2 linked regions of the Pelodiscus sinensis genome follow. The protein of the gene in region 2 purifies or fractionates together with the protein of the main gene of each other region. This does not show direct contact. Links are inferred from orthologs where the notes say so. Each region holds a gene or a part of one and is shown on either strand. Other genes may lie near its edges.

What was found. Proteins that work in one complex are often made in the same cells at the same time.
Region 1: the proteins of LPIN2 (region 2) and FBXW11 purify together in Homo sapiens (affinity purification with mass spectrometry; 4 studies listed by BioGRID and IntAct, with this or other methods). This does not show direct contact. The link is inferred for Pelodiscus sinensis from reciprocal best matches to the Homo sapiens genes LPIN2 and FBXW11.

Annotation. Positions count from the first base shown.
Region 1 is NC_134727.1:4,104,725-4,112,676, forward strand, and holds the start of FBXW11 (F-box/WD repeat-containing protein 11), read left to right. Parts: upstream 1-4,949; 5' UTR 4,950-5,060; coding exon 5,061-5,105; intron 5,106-7,952.
Region 2 is NC_134712.1:81,421,491-81,429,127, forward strand, and holds the start of LPIN2 (phosphatidate phosphatase LPIN2), read right to left. Parts: upstream 3,007-7,637; 5' UTR 2,953-3,006; coding exon of another isoform or gene 2,935-2,952; 5' UTR 2,836-2,934; coding exon 2,749-2,835; intron 1-2,748. UniProt on the Homo sapiens protein: Acts as a magnesium-dependent phosphatidate phosphatase enzyme which catalyzes the conversion of phosphatidic acid to diacylglycerol during triglyceride, phosphatidylcholine and phosphatidylethanolamine biosynthesis in the endoplasmic reticulum membrane.

The DNA.
Region 1 (7,952 bases), on a different chromosome or scaffold from region 2:
TCAACACCGCTTTGTCTCCAGACTCATTAACATACTGTTGGCTCCAATAGCCTTTCCTCAGCCACAGGCTGCAGATGCTTGAGCGGAGTCTGTCACTCTGCATCACTGTGAAGGAGCTGGTAGAGCATGATCCTGGCTCTTTGCTAGCAGGCTGGCTGGCTGGCTGGAAATGGGATGCAGACACTAAAACGTCTGGCAAATGTCTAAAGAAGCAGCTCCCTGCTAAGAATGCAGTTTGCAATTATTTTGATGGAGCTGTCTGGGACATCATCCTGTGGTCAAGCAATGTAATAGTTCTTTGTATGTGCCATGGAACTGCCCTGCCTCTGTTTGGAACGGTTTGATCCCTTCTGTCTGCATCTAACCTAGACTGAAAGTTTCTCAGGGCAAAGACCATACATTGCCTTTAGAAGCACACTCTCAGTACTCACACTATTATTACTGGCTAATAAATCTGGGGCCACTTAGATCTTTATAGTTGTCGCTACGCTGCATAGGGCCACTCAGAACCAGAGCAGAATGGGAACAGAATTTAGATATAGCTGCTCCAAAAGACCAGACTACTGTCACTTGAGCTGAAGGAGACTCTTCACTGGATGTTAGCAAAATAAGACACACATTTAAGCATGCCTCATTTCATCCAGCAGAGGGCACTGGCATACACGCAGACAATTCACTCCTGCTACCCTAATCAGACCTTTTGTCTTAAAGAACAGGCCTTTCATAAGTTTCAGAGGGGTAGCTGAGTTAGTCTGTAACTGGGAAAATTTAAAAAGCAGCAAATAGTCTTGCAACTCATGATACCGTCTACAGGTTTTGTTAGTCTTTAAGGTGGTGCAAGACTGTTTGTTGTTTTTTAAGTTTTTCCAGGCATTTCATGGTTCATCTCAATTCTGACAAAAGTGTAATCAATTAATGTATTTAGGACTTTGAAAGCTATGGGGACTGGGAATTTCATGACAAAGGATATAATTCAGAATTTCCTCCTCCAAATGCATAGGTTGCTACAATTTGAAGAAGCAATCTATTAGCTTTCAGCAATCTAAAGTTTGACAGAAGCAAGCATTTCTAACTCCATCCAGGAGAAGGCAGTACTATACATACATACCAGCCTGTATATTACTATAGTAAAACTTGGGCTTTATCACTGTATGTCGTTCAGTTTATGGGGAATCATCTGTCACATGTTGCCACTAGGGTTGTTAAATATTGACTAATTGACTAATCAAATAGTCGATGCATTTTGCATCGACTATTCGATTAGTCGATAGGGCGCCTCCGTCTTTGAAGTATAGCAACAGAAGAGCCTGGGGTCAGCTGGGGACTCCCCCACTGACCCGAAGCTCTGTGCGGCGCTGCTGCTTTGAAACACCATGGGGAGCCCAGCATCAGGCTCCTCGTAGCATTTCAAAGTGGCAGCGCTGCATGGAGCCCGGGATCTCCAGCTGATCCTGGGCTTCACGCAGTGCTGCCTTTTTGAAACACTGCATGCAGACTAATGCTGGGCTCCCCATGGCGTTTCAAAGTGGCAGTACTGTACAGAGCCCGGGGTCAGTGGGAAGTCCCCAGCTGATCCTGGGCTCCATGCTACACTGCTGCTTTGAAATGCCGCATTCAGCCTGGGGACACCCCAGCTGGCCCCAGGCTGCATGTGGCATTTCAAAGCGGCAGCACCGCGTGGAGTCCAGGGTCTGAGCGGCACTGCTGCTTTGAAGTACCCTCTCCCTCCCCCCCTTGCTACCTCTTTCTGATAGAGGCAGCAAGGGGGAAGGAAGCGACTAATCGACTAGTCTTTCACACCCCTACTTGCCACTAGCCAACCAAAAGTAGAATTGTTTTGTTTTTTTAAATGAGAGAGGTTTTAGGAAATTTTTTGTTTTTGTTTCGACTTCTGAATTATGGCATGAACTGAAGGAAAAGCACTATTACTAACGAAGCAATAAAGGTTAAAAAGGTTAAAAGAATGTTGAGAACTTAAATGTGACACACACCCCCATTACATTTTGTAAAAATAATCTTTTATAAAATCTTATGCCAATAGATTTCTAGGGCCAGGTTCGAAACTTAGCATAGAAATGAGAGATCTCATTCATTACCACTACAGCGTTGTGGAGGAAATTCATCCCTAGTCAGAGGCCAGCAATATATCTTAGTCTAAATTAAACCTGATTTTGAGGGCTTAAGTGGTGTTTAGGCGATCCATAGGCCCTGTGCTAGCCCTCTGCACACAGATGAATTTCACTCACTGTTGGTAGGATGCCAGTATTGATAATACTGCAACAGGTATGAAAATGATGATAGGAACAAGTTTGCGCTCCTGGTCTGTGTCTACACTGGCGCGATCTCGCGCAAAAGCGGATGCTCTTGCGCAAAAACTTGCTGCCTGTCTACACTGGCCACATGTTCTTGTGCAAGTAAACTGACGTTCTAATGTGTAAAATCAGGGCTTCTTGCACCAGAACTCTGATGCTCCCGCTCAGGAAGAAGCCCTTTTGCGCAAGAGCTCTTCCAGAAGAGGCCAGTGTAGACAGGCAACATGAATTTCTTGCACAAGAAAGCCCTATGGTTAAAATGGCCATCAGAGCTTTCTTGCGCAAGAGAGCTTCTACACTGGCATGGATGCTCTTGCGCAAAAGCACATCTCTTCCGCAAAAGCGCATGCCAGTGTAGACGCTCTCTTCTGGAAGAATTTTTGCAGAAGAACTCTTCCGCAAAAGAGTTTTTGCGTGAGAACGTGCCAGTGTAGACGTAGCCCTGGTGAAAAAACTTTTCCTTAGTTTGAGAGTGGATTTCTAATGTGAGCACATATGTGACATCTGGAAACCTACTACTTGCAAGAATAACACATTTTATGCAGACTGTCTCCATCCTCAATCACTACTCGCTCTGTAAAACTATGCAATACTTGAATACATACTCAGGGGATGAATATAAAAACAAACAAAATAGGACATGCTTTCCATACCTATAATAGATTTAAAGGACATTTCCCATCACAATGTGGATCTATAAGGTAGACCACATTAACTATTCATAGCTTTTAGACCTTCATTCCTGACTCATAAATATTTCTGTATAGTTTTCATTGATTGTCACTTATAAAGGTTTCAAAGCTTGGCTACTACTAGCAACTATTGTGTAGTAGTATTGTTTCCTTATATATTCTGTCACTGCTTTCTCTCTCACCATAGGCTTTAGTTATTTTCCATGGTAAAAAAACAATTGACTTTAAATAAGCAAATAGTACACTTGAGAAACTGAAAGTGAAACTCACTATAAACAAAAAGTGAAATTGATTTTTAAAGGGATATAAAAGACAAGTAACATCCCTTTACCATATGTACAGATGGAGCTGGCAGAAACCTCAATTTTTTTAATCTCATATCTTAATATTGTCTAGCTGCACTGGAATGTGCTTACGTCTTTAAAGAATCTGGATGTAAAGCTCTGTTGTATTGTTTCAACTGTCATTTTGGATAGAACAGAGAACATTCAGTTGTGCCATTAAGATGAATATTAGTCAAAATCCTTGCCTAAAAGGATTGCAAGGAAGATAGTGCTAGAATCACAAAAAAGCAATGCCAGGAATGTTACAATTAATAAACTCTATGTGGTCAAAAGATACGGAAATGGTAAGTAAATTCAACAATTAGGGATAATGGGTCCAAAGGCTGCTTTTCATCCCTCTGGCAATGCAAAGGGGCTTTAAGTAGGAAGAAATGGCATCTAAAATCACTCCTTTGTTTTAGGGACTTTCCTAGCTGGCCTAAAGCTGCTTTCAGACCACAGTAAACTCTTCATTCTTCATCGCTGCCCCAAATACAAAAACAGGGAAACTGGGATTCAGACAAATATACCACAGTTCTGAATGAAATACTAGAATATTAAACCGTGTGCAATCATAAGGGCCTTATATCTCTGAGAGCGCTGATGATCTTTTCTGTCCTGCGGGTCTCGGTGGGACACGCCGTGGGGCCCGGCGTCCTGCCGGTCTCGGTGGGACACGCCGTGGGGCCCGGCGTCCTGCCGGTCTCGGTGGGACACGCCGTGGGGCCCGGCGTCCTGCCGGTCTCGGTGGGACACGCCGTGGGGCCCGGCGTCCTGCTGGTCTCGGTGGGACACGCCGTGGGGCCCGGCGTCCTGCCGGTCTCGGTGGGACACGCCGTGGGGCCCGGCGTCCTGCCGGTCTCGGTGGGACGCGCCGTGGGGCCCGGTGTCCTGCGGGTCTCGGTGGGACACGCCGTGGGGCTCGGCGTCCTGCGGGTCTCGGTGGGACGTGCCCTGGGGCCCGGTGTCCTGCTGGTCTCGGTGGGACGCGCCGTGGGGCCCGGCGTCCTGCTGGTCTCGGTGGGACACGCCGTGGGGCCCGGTGTCCTGCGGGTCTCGGTGGGACACGCCGTGGGGCTCAGAGTCTGGCCGGTCTCTGTGGGACGCGCCGTGGGGCCCGGCGTCCTGCCGGTCTCTGTGGGACGCGCCGTGGGGCTCAGCGTCCTGCTGGTCTCGGTGGGACGTGCCGTGGGGCTCAGAGTCTGGCCGGTCTCGGTGGGACGCGCCGTGGGGCCCAGCACCCTGCCGGTCTCTCGCCCCAGGCCAGGGCGGGAGGGCGTGTGGGTGCGCCAGGCCTGCCCTGGGCGGGGGGCCTTGCTGGCAGGTGGGATGGGAAGGTGCCATTGGCCTGGGCCTCAGTGGCCCGCCAGCCCCACTCAGCCTGGGGCTCTCCCTTCACAAGACTCCATCTCCCAGCATGCACTCCGAGGGCCGTTCCTGGCGCCTGGCCTGCTGGGCTTTGCAGTCCTCTCCGCGCCGTGCGGCGAAGGCGCCGCGGAGCCTGCCGGGAGTCGTAGGCCCTGCGGAGGCGAGGTGGGAAGCGGGGGGGCGTTGGCGGCGCTTCCTGTTCCGGGCGCGCGGCGGGCACCGCGAGCCTGCGTGCGTCCGGCGGGCGGGGGGCGGGAGCAGCTGGCGGCGGCGGCCCGAGGTCGGAGCCAGGCGGGGTTCGGTTCCGCGCTGCGGCCGGGCGGGAGGCAGGCGCGGGGGGGAGGGGCGCGGAGCCGCCCGCCGCGATGGAGCCCGACTCAGTGATCGAGGACAAGACCATCGAGCTGATGGTGAGTGCCCCCCCCCCCCCGCCGGAACCTCCCCTCCCCCACCCCAGAGTGCCCCCCCCGGCCGGGCAGGAGAGCGGCGGGGCGGGCCTCTGGTCCCACGCTGAGCCAGGAGTAGGCCCCGCCGCGGCCGGGGGAGGGGGAGCGGGCTCGGGCCTTGCGGGGGGGCTCCCCCCGCCCCCCACCCTGAGCGAAGGTGACATTTGAATCCGCCCGGGCTGCGTGGAAGGTGCGAGATCGGGATCATCCCCCCCCCCCCCCCCCCGCCGGCTGCTGGGTGAGCGGGGCTGGGCCCAGGGAGCCCCCCCCCTTTCCTGCCGCGAGACCTTCGGGCCCACGCGCGGGGCTCCCTCCCCCAGTCCAGCTCCTGCCCGCTGGCCCCCAAATCCGCCCCCTCCTCTTCATTGTTCCTCAGAATAACCTCGACCTGTCATTCAACAAACAAGCCACGCCCCTCCCGAAAATATGGACCCCCCCCCATCCAGGATCTCGTTTGGAAAGCCATTGAAAAGGGCCTGAGATTTTTTTTGTGCGGTGGGGAAGATTGGACAAGCAGGTTATTAATTATTTTTACAAATAATCACTGATCAGTGTGGATTATGTGGGCAATTAAACACACACTTTTTTTTTAAACAAGATGACATTCAGCATGTAGTCATTGTCCCCTTTTTGTTCATGGAGCTCTTCCTGAGATGCAGCATCTTGTTTTTTTAACTTTGAGTACAGATGATGATAAACATCCTCTGCAACCCAGTATTTTTGAATCACTTGGTTAAATTGATTACCAAATATGTAAAGGGGTTTGTCTTAGAAGGCAAAGAATTTGTAGCTTAGCATGTAGGTCTATTTTAATCAAATATATTTTGTAATTAATACTGTGTTTTTAAAGTGGCTAGTGTGTGTGTGTGTATATATATATATATATATATATATATATATATATATATAAAATATTTGGGAATTATTTTTACTCCTTATATTTGAGAATGTGTGTTTTATTTCAGTGAGTAAGCATTTACTGAATTGATTTATATCTCTCAGCAGAAGCAATAGGCCTTTTGTGAATTGTTCAGTGCAGTAAATAATTTTGCAAACTCTGTGTAACTTGAAACCTGGGTTCTATAGTTGATTTACTAAATGTTTATTGCACTAAACTTAGGTTGCCGGAAAGTTAGCTGTGGGACAGTGAGAGGGATTCTTTATAGAAATAGTAAGAGCAGTCACAAAATATTAGTAGAATTATGTTAAGATAACTTTAGGGGAAAAATGTTTTTTAAATTAATATCTGGGATAGATTAGAATTGGTGATCAAGTTTAATATTTTGTGTACTACTTTGCCTGCACTAACCATTGTTACCTATTAGATAGAAATGTAATGATGCACAGCTATCCTTGTTTTGTGTTTGTACAGTGCCTAGCACAATGGGATCTTGTCCATGAATGGGACTTCTATGTGCTACTCTCAATAATTATCTTGTTTGCTTCATTCTGTGTGAAGCATCTGGCACTGTCTACTGTTGAAAGACAGGATGCTGGAGTAGATGTACCATTGGCCTGAGGCAGTATGGCTAATTTTCTTTCAGTGATAAAAATAATGTAGATAACAAGATCTCATGCATGCTTTAACTGACCATTGGAAGTGTTCTAGGTGCTGGATAGGCATAAGATGACACAAATTGGCATTTTTAGGTATTTCCACATTCTTTTAGTAATATAGTCTGAGCAAACGACCAGGTTTGATGTTCTGTAAACTTCTTTTATAAAATTTTCATATCATTGGCTGAGCACTGTTAATCTTGTTCTTTTACTAAGCAGAAATTCATGTTATGCTTTCTGCATTTTCTTATCTCGTTGCTGATCACTGAGGTCTGTAGCTGTAGCTATTCTTAAGAGAGTCCTTTCTTGATCCTTATTGATTTAGTAACCCCATATTTTAATGTTGATGACCTCAGAATTGCTTTCATGTTAACAGCTTGTAATGTTGCAAACAATAGCTGGTGAAATCAACCAGTCAGACATCATCAGTTGAAGAAAAAAATTCTAGTTGTCCAGGAATGAGTTCTACAGGAACAAATATAATTGCATATACAATGCACAAGATGAATTTTAGTGGTGGTTTTGTGTCACATAATGAGTAGGTACTCATGGTGGCTGTGTACTAAAATTTAATGGGTGTTTAAGCCAGACAGGTGAAACAATGCTATCTAACTTTCTTGGCAGTCTTTTGACAGACTGACTTCCATTTTAGTATTTTCTGTTTTTTGGCTGTGTTGCTAACTAACAGAAGCAAATAATTGTTTGGAATAATTTAATTGCAACCGTGATCACTTCTGGGAAATGGTAAAAAAGCAACCAAGGGATTTTAATAAAACAACTTTAAAAGATTTTGGATCTCTTTAAAAAAATAAAAATCAAGGCTTCTTTGCATTATGCAATAGGAATCCAATAAAATGTACAGTTACTTTAGCTAATGTATATATGAACTGGCAGTGCTTGTAAAGAGTGAATGTGTGGGGCTGAAAACCAAGGCTGCTGCTTTCTATTAAATTAATACAAATAATAAGATCAAGAAAAAAGTATATTTTACAGATTATTACATAGAAAACAGTAGTTTGTAAATATGTCTACAATTTTACACTTATTTTTAATGCCAGTTAAGGCAGCATTAAAACATACTTTTGACCTGCGCTAAATGTTATACTGAATCTATACAGTCTTCATAAACAAATATTATTTAACAACTTGATCGTGTTTTGCCTCCTTCCTCAAAAGGGATATTTAAGATTCTGTGAAACTGGAAACAAATAAAAAGCAGCCTGTAATAAATAAATAAATAAATAAAAAATAGTG
Region 2 (7,637 bases):
ATTTTAAAGGCCCAGCGATACTGAGGGCTCCACTGCAAAAGGGAACTTCTTGTAACTTTTAATGCTCCAGAGGTCTTGTGTTTCGAACATCAAAGTTATAAGCTTACATTTGTAAGAGCCCCCATAATTGAAAATATTCAAATATTGGTGGAGCATCCTGTGCCTCTAACTAGGAGGGAAAACACTCTGCATTTGCAATAAGCCAATACAGGGAATGTAAAAATTGCAACTGCCTGCTCTATCTTTTAAGATAAAGTTTAACAGTAAATTCAGAACAAGGGGAAAAAGTACTCACTCTGAAAATGAAGCCACATGTTTATGAAACTAAAAATAAGTATGAGCTATGCAACATAAAAGACACTTAATCCAATACTGACTACATTAAACTCTCCCCACCCTTAAATGAAGTAGATTTTACAGTTTGAGGAACAGAGGCTTATAGAATACAACTTAGGCATTTTCAGCTCCGACAGTTCACATTAAATTTTTAACACACTTCAGCAGTGAACTCTGAAATTCAGGAAATTCTAAACTAAGACAGACATGGTCCCTGCCTCAAAACTGACAAAGCATATAACACAGTGGTCCCCAACACAGTGCCCGCGGGCGCCATGGCGCCCGTGGGGGCATTTGTGTGCGCCTGCCAAGTGCTCGGGGATGGCCTGGCCCCGGGAACGTGGCACATGCACGGTGAGCGCCGGCTCCGGGAGCGCCGCAGATTGGCTGTGCTCTGGGCGCGTGCCGCTTGGGGGGGCCCCGCCCTCGCCCCCAGGCGCGCAAGTGTCCCCGTCCTCTGGTGCCCGGTGGGCAAACGGCCACGCCCCCTGGCGCCCGGCAACCTCTAGTGGTTGGGGACCACTGATATAACATCTCACCCCCACCCCCATATACATTTTTCCTGCCGTCAGTGTTCCCTCTAAACTGCTGGGGCAGCACAGCTTCACAGGTGATTAATCAGTCCTACCCAGTCAGAGGCTCAGGGATACCAGCACAGAGCTGAATGACTGGGCAAGACTGATTAATCACCTGTGAAGCTGTGCTGCAGCTCATCTTAGGGGGAACACTGGGCACAGCCCCTTAGTATTTTTGAGTACTGCAAAAGTAATACAATTTACATTAATATGCGTTGTTCATAGTTCAGGAACTTTTAATAGAACATCTGTATGCAAGCATGTGACACAGCTAGAACAGCACCTATATGAAGAGAAAGAATTTCCTGGGAATTTCCAATACCACAATGGAAAAACAGTCTTCATTTTTAAAACCTAGCTCACAGTCCTATGCTGTGTCTAGACTGCATCCCTTTTTCGTAATTCCCGCAAATGAAGCGGGGATTTAAATCCCCCCTGCTTCATAAGCATAAAAATGGCTGCCGCTTTTTTCCGGCTCGGAGCTTTGCCGGAAAAAAGCACCAGTCTAGACGTGGATCTTTCAGAAAATAGAGCCTCAGGGACAAGGGATCTTTCGGAAAAGGCTTTATTTTCCGAAAGATCCGCGTCTAGACTGGCGCTTTTTTCCGGCAAAGCGCCGAGCCGGAAAAAAGCGGCAGTAATTTTTATGCTAATGAAGCGGGGGGGATTTAAATCCCTGCTTCATTTGCAATTGCGATATGTCTAATTTGCATCCCTTTCACGAAAAAGGGATGCAGTCTAGACACAGCCCTAGAGTACTTCATCTGGTTTACTAATCCAGCCTTTGGTTAACATATTGTATTGCCTGGGAAATCCAAAATATTACACACTAAAATATGTTGTAAAGTACAGCTTTTTCCAAGCAGATTGGACAGTTCACACTACACACATGAAAGCTACTGACAGTATGTTTCTGCTACAAAGGGAATGAATCATTACTTAGTATTATGAAAAAAACGTCAAGAGGTCTTAAATCAACAGAATTAATTTTTCTATTGATTTCACATTGTATCTAGTACAAGATGCCTTTTGATCTAATTGCTCCTTTTCATTACTACTACAAAAAGGGAAGAATGCAAAAGAAAAATCAAGAGCGTAGTCTTGATTTTCTTCAAGTTACCTGATTTTGCCCAGGTTAAAATAGATATTTATCAATCAGGTAGAAGTTATGTTTAACTGGATAAAACAGTCATTTACTCAAAATTTTACTAGATTTATTCCTCATTTATAATTTTTATTAGTGTCTCAGTCATTTTAATTTAGAGTTTGGTACATATTTAATTACAAGATCAGCAAAACTATAATTGCAACTATAGTATTCTAACTCAAACATACTAATTTACTTGTATTTAGTTAATTAATGACAATGAATAACGCAGGGGACTGGCAGCTTCCAAATGTCACTTGAATAAAAATTCTAATTTATTTTCATTTTCAGTTTGTGTATAAAAATACATTTCTAACTATGTCATTTCATATGCTTTATAGTGAATGTTAACCAAGTCTACAGAGGTAATATCTAACAGAGGAACTAAGTATGGCAAGATATACTTAAGCAAAAATCAAATATATATTTTGCTCTTAAGTAAGCATAAAAAATTAAAAGTTGCAGTTTAGTGTTGCACCTTGAACTGCCTGTAGTTATGCAAGAGAAGGTAAAACCAAAACAAGTCTGCTGAAGTTCAAATTAAGGCTTTCTAAAATATTACAACTCAAGAAGAGCTTGAAACTAAGTATTTCTCAGACTGATCTACTGCAACTATTAACTACTTTACTATGCCAACAGAATGCAGTCACTATATTTATAGTAAATAAGGACATAAGGGACAGAACTCACCAAGATACCAGAAGGGATCCCTTCATGGGCAGTGACTGCATTCTTGTTTTGGTCATCTTCAATATTATCATTTTCTGAGAAATTCATCTCCCTAGAGAAGCTAACTTTTTACAGTACAGGTAAATACCGAGCTACAAATCATAACTTTATGCCGTGTCAACTTTTAAGATGGAAGTAAACTTTTACCACAAGTATTTTAGTCATAAGACGACTTGCTCCTCTGCAGTCTTTCCTTCCTGAGAGACAGCAATGTTCGCGTCTACTTTCTCACGTATTGGTATGGTTAAAAAAGGAAATGTTTCTTTAGAAGTCACATAGAAACTCCTTCACCAATAAGATTAGCTTGAACTGTCACAGCCCCTTCCACCGTGAGAGATAAGAAGTTACATGGCTATACTTAAGCATGTGTTTGCACTGATAGTGTAATACAAAATCATTTACCCTAAGTCACATGATATTAGATGAGCCTTCCATGTAATGAAACAGGGATCTAGTTAATGATTCTTATGCTTTGTCAACACTACATTCATTTAGATTTTTTGCCATTGTAACTACCACCTGTAATGATGCCATGAGCTTCAGTACAGACCACAGCTTGCTGTGGGTACTATCAGAATACACTAACAGCCAGTCTACCCTAGTAAGCCATCAGCAGATAAAATCAGTAGTTGAACTGAAGATTTAAGTTTTAAGGGAAAAAAAAATCAGTATTTAAATAAAGCAATTTTCTCCTTTAAGACTTGATGACCTTGACAACATTATAAAAAATATGAACCATCCATATAAAATGTTATTTTTCTTCCACAGAGATTTCAATCTCTATTAACCGCAACTGAAAGTGGTTGTAAATACCATAGAACAGTGGTTCCCAACCTTTTTTATACCAGAGACTGGCAAACCCATTCATAAACTTTTGGCAGACCAGTAACATTTTATTTGAATATTCATTGTGGTAATTAATTTTAAGAGGCCATGTATTATTTTACACTGCATCTGTACACACGTCATTGTAACAGATCAGAGTTTGCAGATACCTACAACACTAAAAAAAAAATTCTGTTAAAAGAATCCTTTCCTTTCTTATCTTGAGCCATTAACACCTATGTAAACTTGGTTTGAAACGTAATCATGCAAATGTCATGAGTTAGGCCTTTTGTTCTGCCTGCAGCCCAGAAGGAAGTAAGTTAAGACACCTAAAACTCTCCTCTGTCCCCACCTCACTTCACTAGTCCCCACCCTGGAGAGATCTATGCCCACCAGCCTGCACAGCCTACGCATGAACCAGGCACAGAGGCTCCAGCCTACCTGGCACCGCTTGGGGAAGGCAGGAGCAGCTGCATTATGATAAGCCAGGATGCTCCCACCCTCCTCCAGGACCAGAGGACACACATGGGACAGGTGGGAAGATCTCACAAATCCACAGACGATCTCTGTCAGCAGCCAAAGCTCCCTGTGGTCCCTTTGTGCCTCCCCTGGCAACAGCTGGGTCTGTCCCACCCTGGCTGTGCCACTGCTCCATTGGGGGAGAGGAGCCGGACAACACTTGGATGCAGACACAGAGGCAAGGGGAGGGGGGGGTGAAACGCAAGAAGTTGGCTAGATTAGGGATGTAAGCTACTAGTCAACTATCTAATAAGTTTTTGCTTATCTCAGATAGTTGACTAGCCCCTTGACTAGTCATTCCCCTGCTTGCTACTTCTAACAGAGGTAGCAAGGGGGGAGGAGGGGCTGGTACTGGGGGGAGCCGGCTTAAAAGCCAGTTCTCCTCAGCACCGTCTCCGCTGGGGGCAGGAGGGAAGCAGGGACTGGGCATGAGGCGGGAATCAGCCAACAGGCTCTTAATCCATTTAAAAGGCGGAGCTTGCGAGCCAGGAGCTAACCTTGCTGCTGTTCCCCACTTAACTAGTCGATGGACAATCCATCGACTAGTTGATTAAACTAAATTTAACATCCCTAGACTAGATTAGCCAATACGCCTAGACTACTCAACTATTCACTTACATCCCTAGTTGCAAAGCCAAGCATGCTATAGTTATGAAATGCCAAAATTAAGGTTGTTTGCACAACCTTAATTTAGACACTTTTTGCAAAGGCATTGTGAACAGCAAATTATATGATCACATAGTATTTTTTCTACATAAGTACTTCCTAATTCAGTGGACAGGAAACTTAATGAACAGCTAATATTTTATGTTATCTATATTGTTCAATGTGTGTCCCCATGCCTTGTTCACGTCATAATATTCAAACACTGCTCTGAATACAGAATTAGCTCCCTCGGGATCTTTTCTATGGCAGTCATTGTAGTATCACAGTGCAATTCAACTTTTATTTTCATAATATCCACATGAGATGAATGAGTATTATCCTCATTTTACAGAGGGGAACTGAGGCAGAGAGAGATTAAGTTCAAAACTATCCAATAGTTTTAAGTGCATAATTTGAGGAAAGGAAAAGTGATCTGTTTATTTGAGACTGAACACCTTCCCAATATTGCACTTTCATAGCCATGCTGATAATCCTTCTCTTCAGAGCCATGCAGTTCGTCTTAAAGCCACATCACAACTGGATGGGTCTCTCTCTAGCAATCATGGAGGGAAAACATGACATTTGTGCTGTATTTCCTTTCATTTCAATTTCTTACTGGGATGACCAAAGCACAGAAAGTGCAAACCCCTCTGCTCCACTGAAACCTCAATGTAATGACTAAACTCTGGGAAGAGGTTCAAGCAAGCAGCACCATGTGAAGAGCCTATATTATAGATACATACAAGAGGGATTGTCCACAAAACAGATTATTCATATTTATATTGAACAGTCTTGGATTATTTAGGTCTTTATTTTTATCCCTCTCTCATCTGCTGGTATTCTATTTTTCAATTAAAAAAGCATCCAAGTACACTGCAAAATTGAAAATATGAAAAGTAACCCAACAATAATTAATGTTATCAATAGCATTTGCTTACTTTTAAACATATATTGCATTGTATCACCATCAGATACAAGCATGGAAATTTCAAATGTTAAGTCCCATAAAGTCTTTACCAAAAAGTGCAAATATGAAATCTGATAATAATGACAAATGGAAACTTTCCTTACTCTACTCTCTCTCACAATTCATTTCTCCTTGATACATTTATCTCCCTTAACATTGACTGGAGTTAAGTACACTCAGTACAAAACTAATTTAGCCATGCATTTAATTTGCATATAAAATAGTCTTGATTTTTCTTCTTAAATTCCATTCATAATTAAGATTCCATAATTTCTCTTTGGAAAGGTGAGTGGGGGCAGAATAGAACTGTATCCTAGTATAAAATATTTGTCCTGATGACTGAACTTTTGTGGACAGTCACAAAGCTACTGACTGTAAAAAGTCAGTTCAACCCCAGCATGTGGAAGTGTTTTCTACATTATGTACTCATCTATACCTGAATTTTACTGTAATGCAATGCAACCTCACTGTTTCTTGATCCTGATAACACACAGACTCCTAATTCAGGGAAATCAATGAAATAAATCAAAGGAATAGCAAGAGTACTAAAACCAACCAACCAACCACTCTCCCTAACAATATTAAGTTTTATAAAATTGCTTGAAAATCATAGAATCATAGAATAATAGGACTGGAAGGGACCTCGAGAGGTCATCGAGTCCAGCCCCCCGCCCTCAAGGCAGGGCCAAGCTCCGTCTACACCATCCCTGACAGATGTCTATCTAACCTGTTCTTAAATATCTCCAGAGAGGGAGATTCCACCACCTCCCTTGGCAATTTATTCCAATATTTGGCCACCCTGACAGTTAGGAATTTTTTCCTAATGTCCAATCTAAACCTCCCCTGCTGCACTTTAAGCCCATTACTCCTTGTCCTGTCCTCAGAAACCAAGAGGAACAAATTTTCTCCTTCCGCCTTGTGACACCCTTTTAGATATTTGAAAACCGCTATCATGTCCCCCCTTAATCTTCTTTTTTCCAAACTAAACAAGCCCAGTTCATGAAACCTGGCTTCATAGGTCATGTTCTCTAGGCCTTTAATCATTCTTGTCGCTCTTCTCTGTACCCTTTCCAATTTCTCCACATCTTTCTTGAAATGTGGCGCCCAGAACTGGACACAGTACTCCAGCTGAGGCCTAACTAGTGCAGAGTAGAGCGGCAGAATGACTTCACGAGTTTTGCTTACAACACACCTGTTGATACAACCTAGAATCATATTTGCTTTTTTTGCAACAGCATCACACTGTTGACTCATATTCAACTTGTGGTCCACTATGACCCCTAGATCCCTTTCCGCCATGCTCCTTCCTAGACAGTCGCTTCCCATCTTGTATGTATGGAACTGATTGTTCCTTCCTAAGTGGAGCACTTTGCATTTCTCTTTATTAAACCTCATCCTGTTTACCTCTGACCATTTCTCTAACTTGCTACGGTCATTTTGAATTATGTCCCTATCCTCCAAAGAAGTTGCAACCCCACCCAGTTTGGTGTCATCTGCAAACTTAATAAGCGTACACTCTATCCCAATATCTACATCATTGATGAAGATATTGAACAGTACGGGTCCCAAAACAGACCCTTGTGGAACTCCACTTGTTATCCCTTTCCAGCAGGATTTAGCACCGTTAACAACAACTCTCTGACTATGGTTATCCAGCCAATCATGCACCCACCTTATCGTGGCCCTATCTAAGTTATATTTGCCTAGTTTATCAATAAGAATATCATGCGAGACCGTATCAAATGCCTTACTAAAGTCTAGGTATATGACATCCACCGCTTCTCCCTTATCCACAAGGCTCGTTATCCTATCAAAGAAAGCTATCAGATTAGTTTGGCATGACTTGTTCTTCACAAACCCATGCTGGCTATTCCCTATCACTTTATTACCTTCC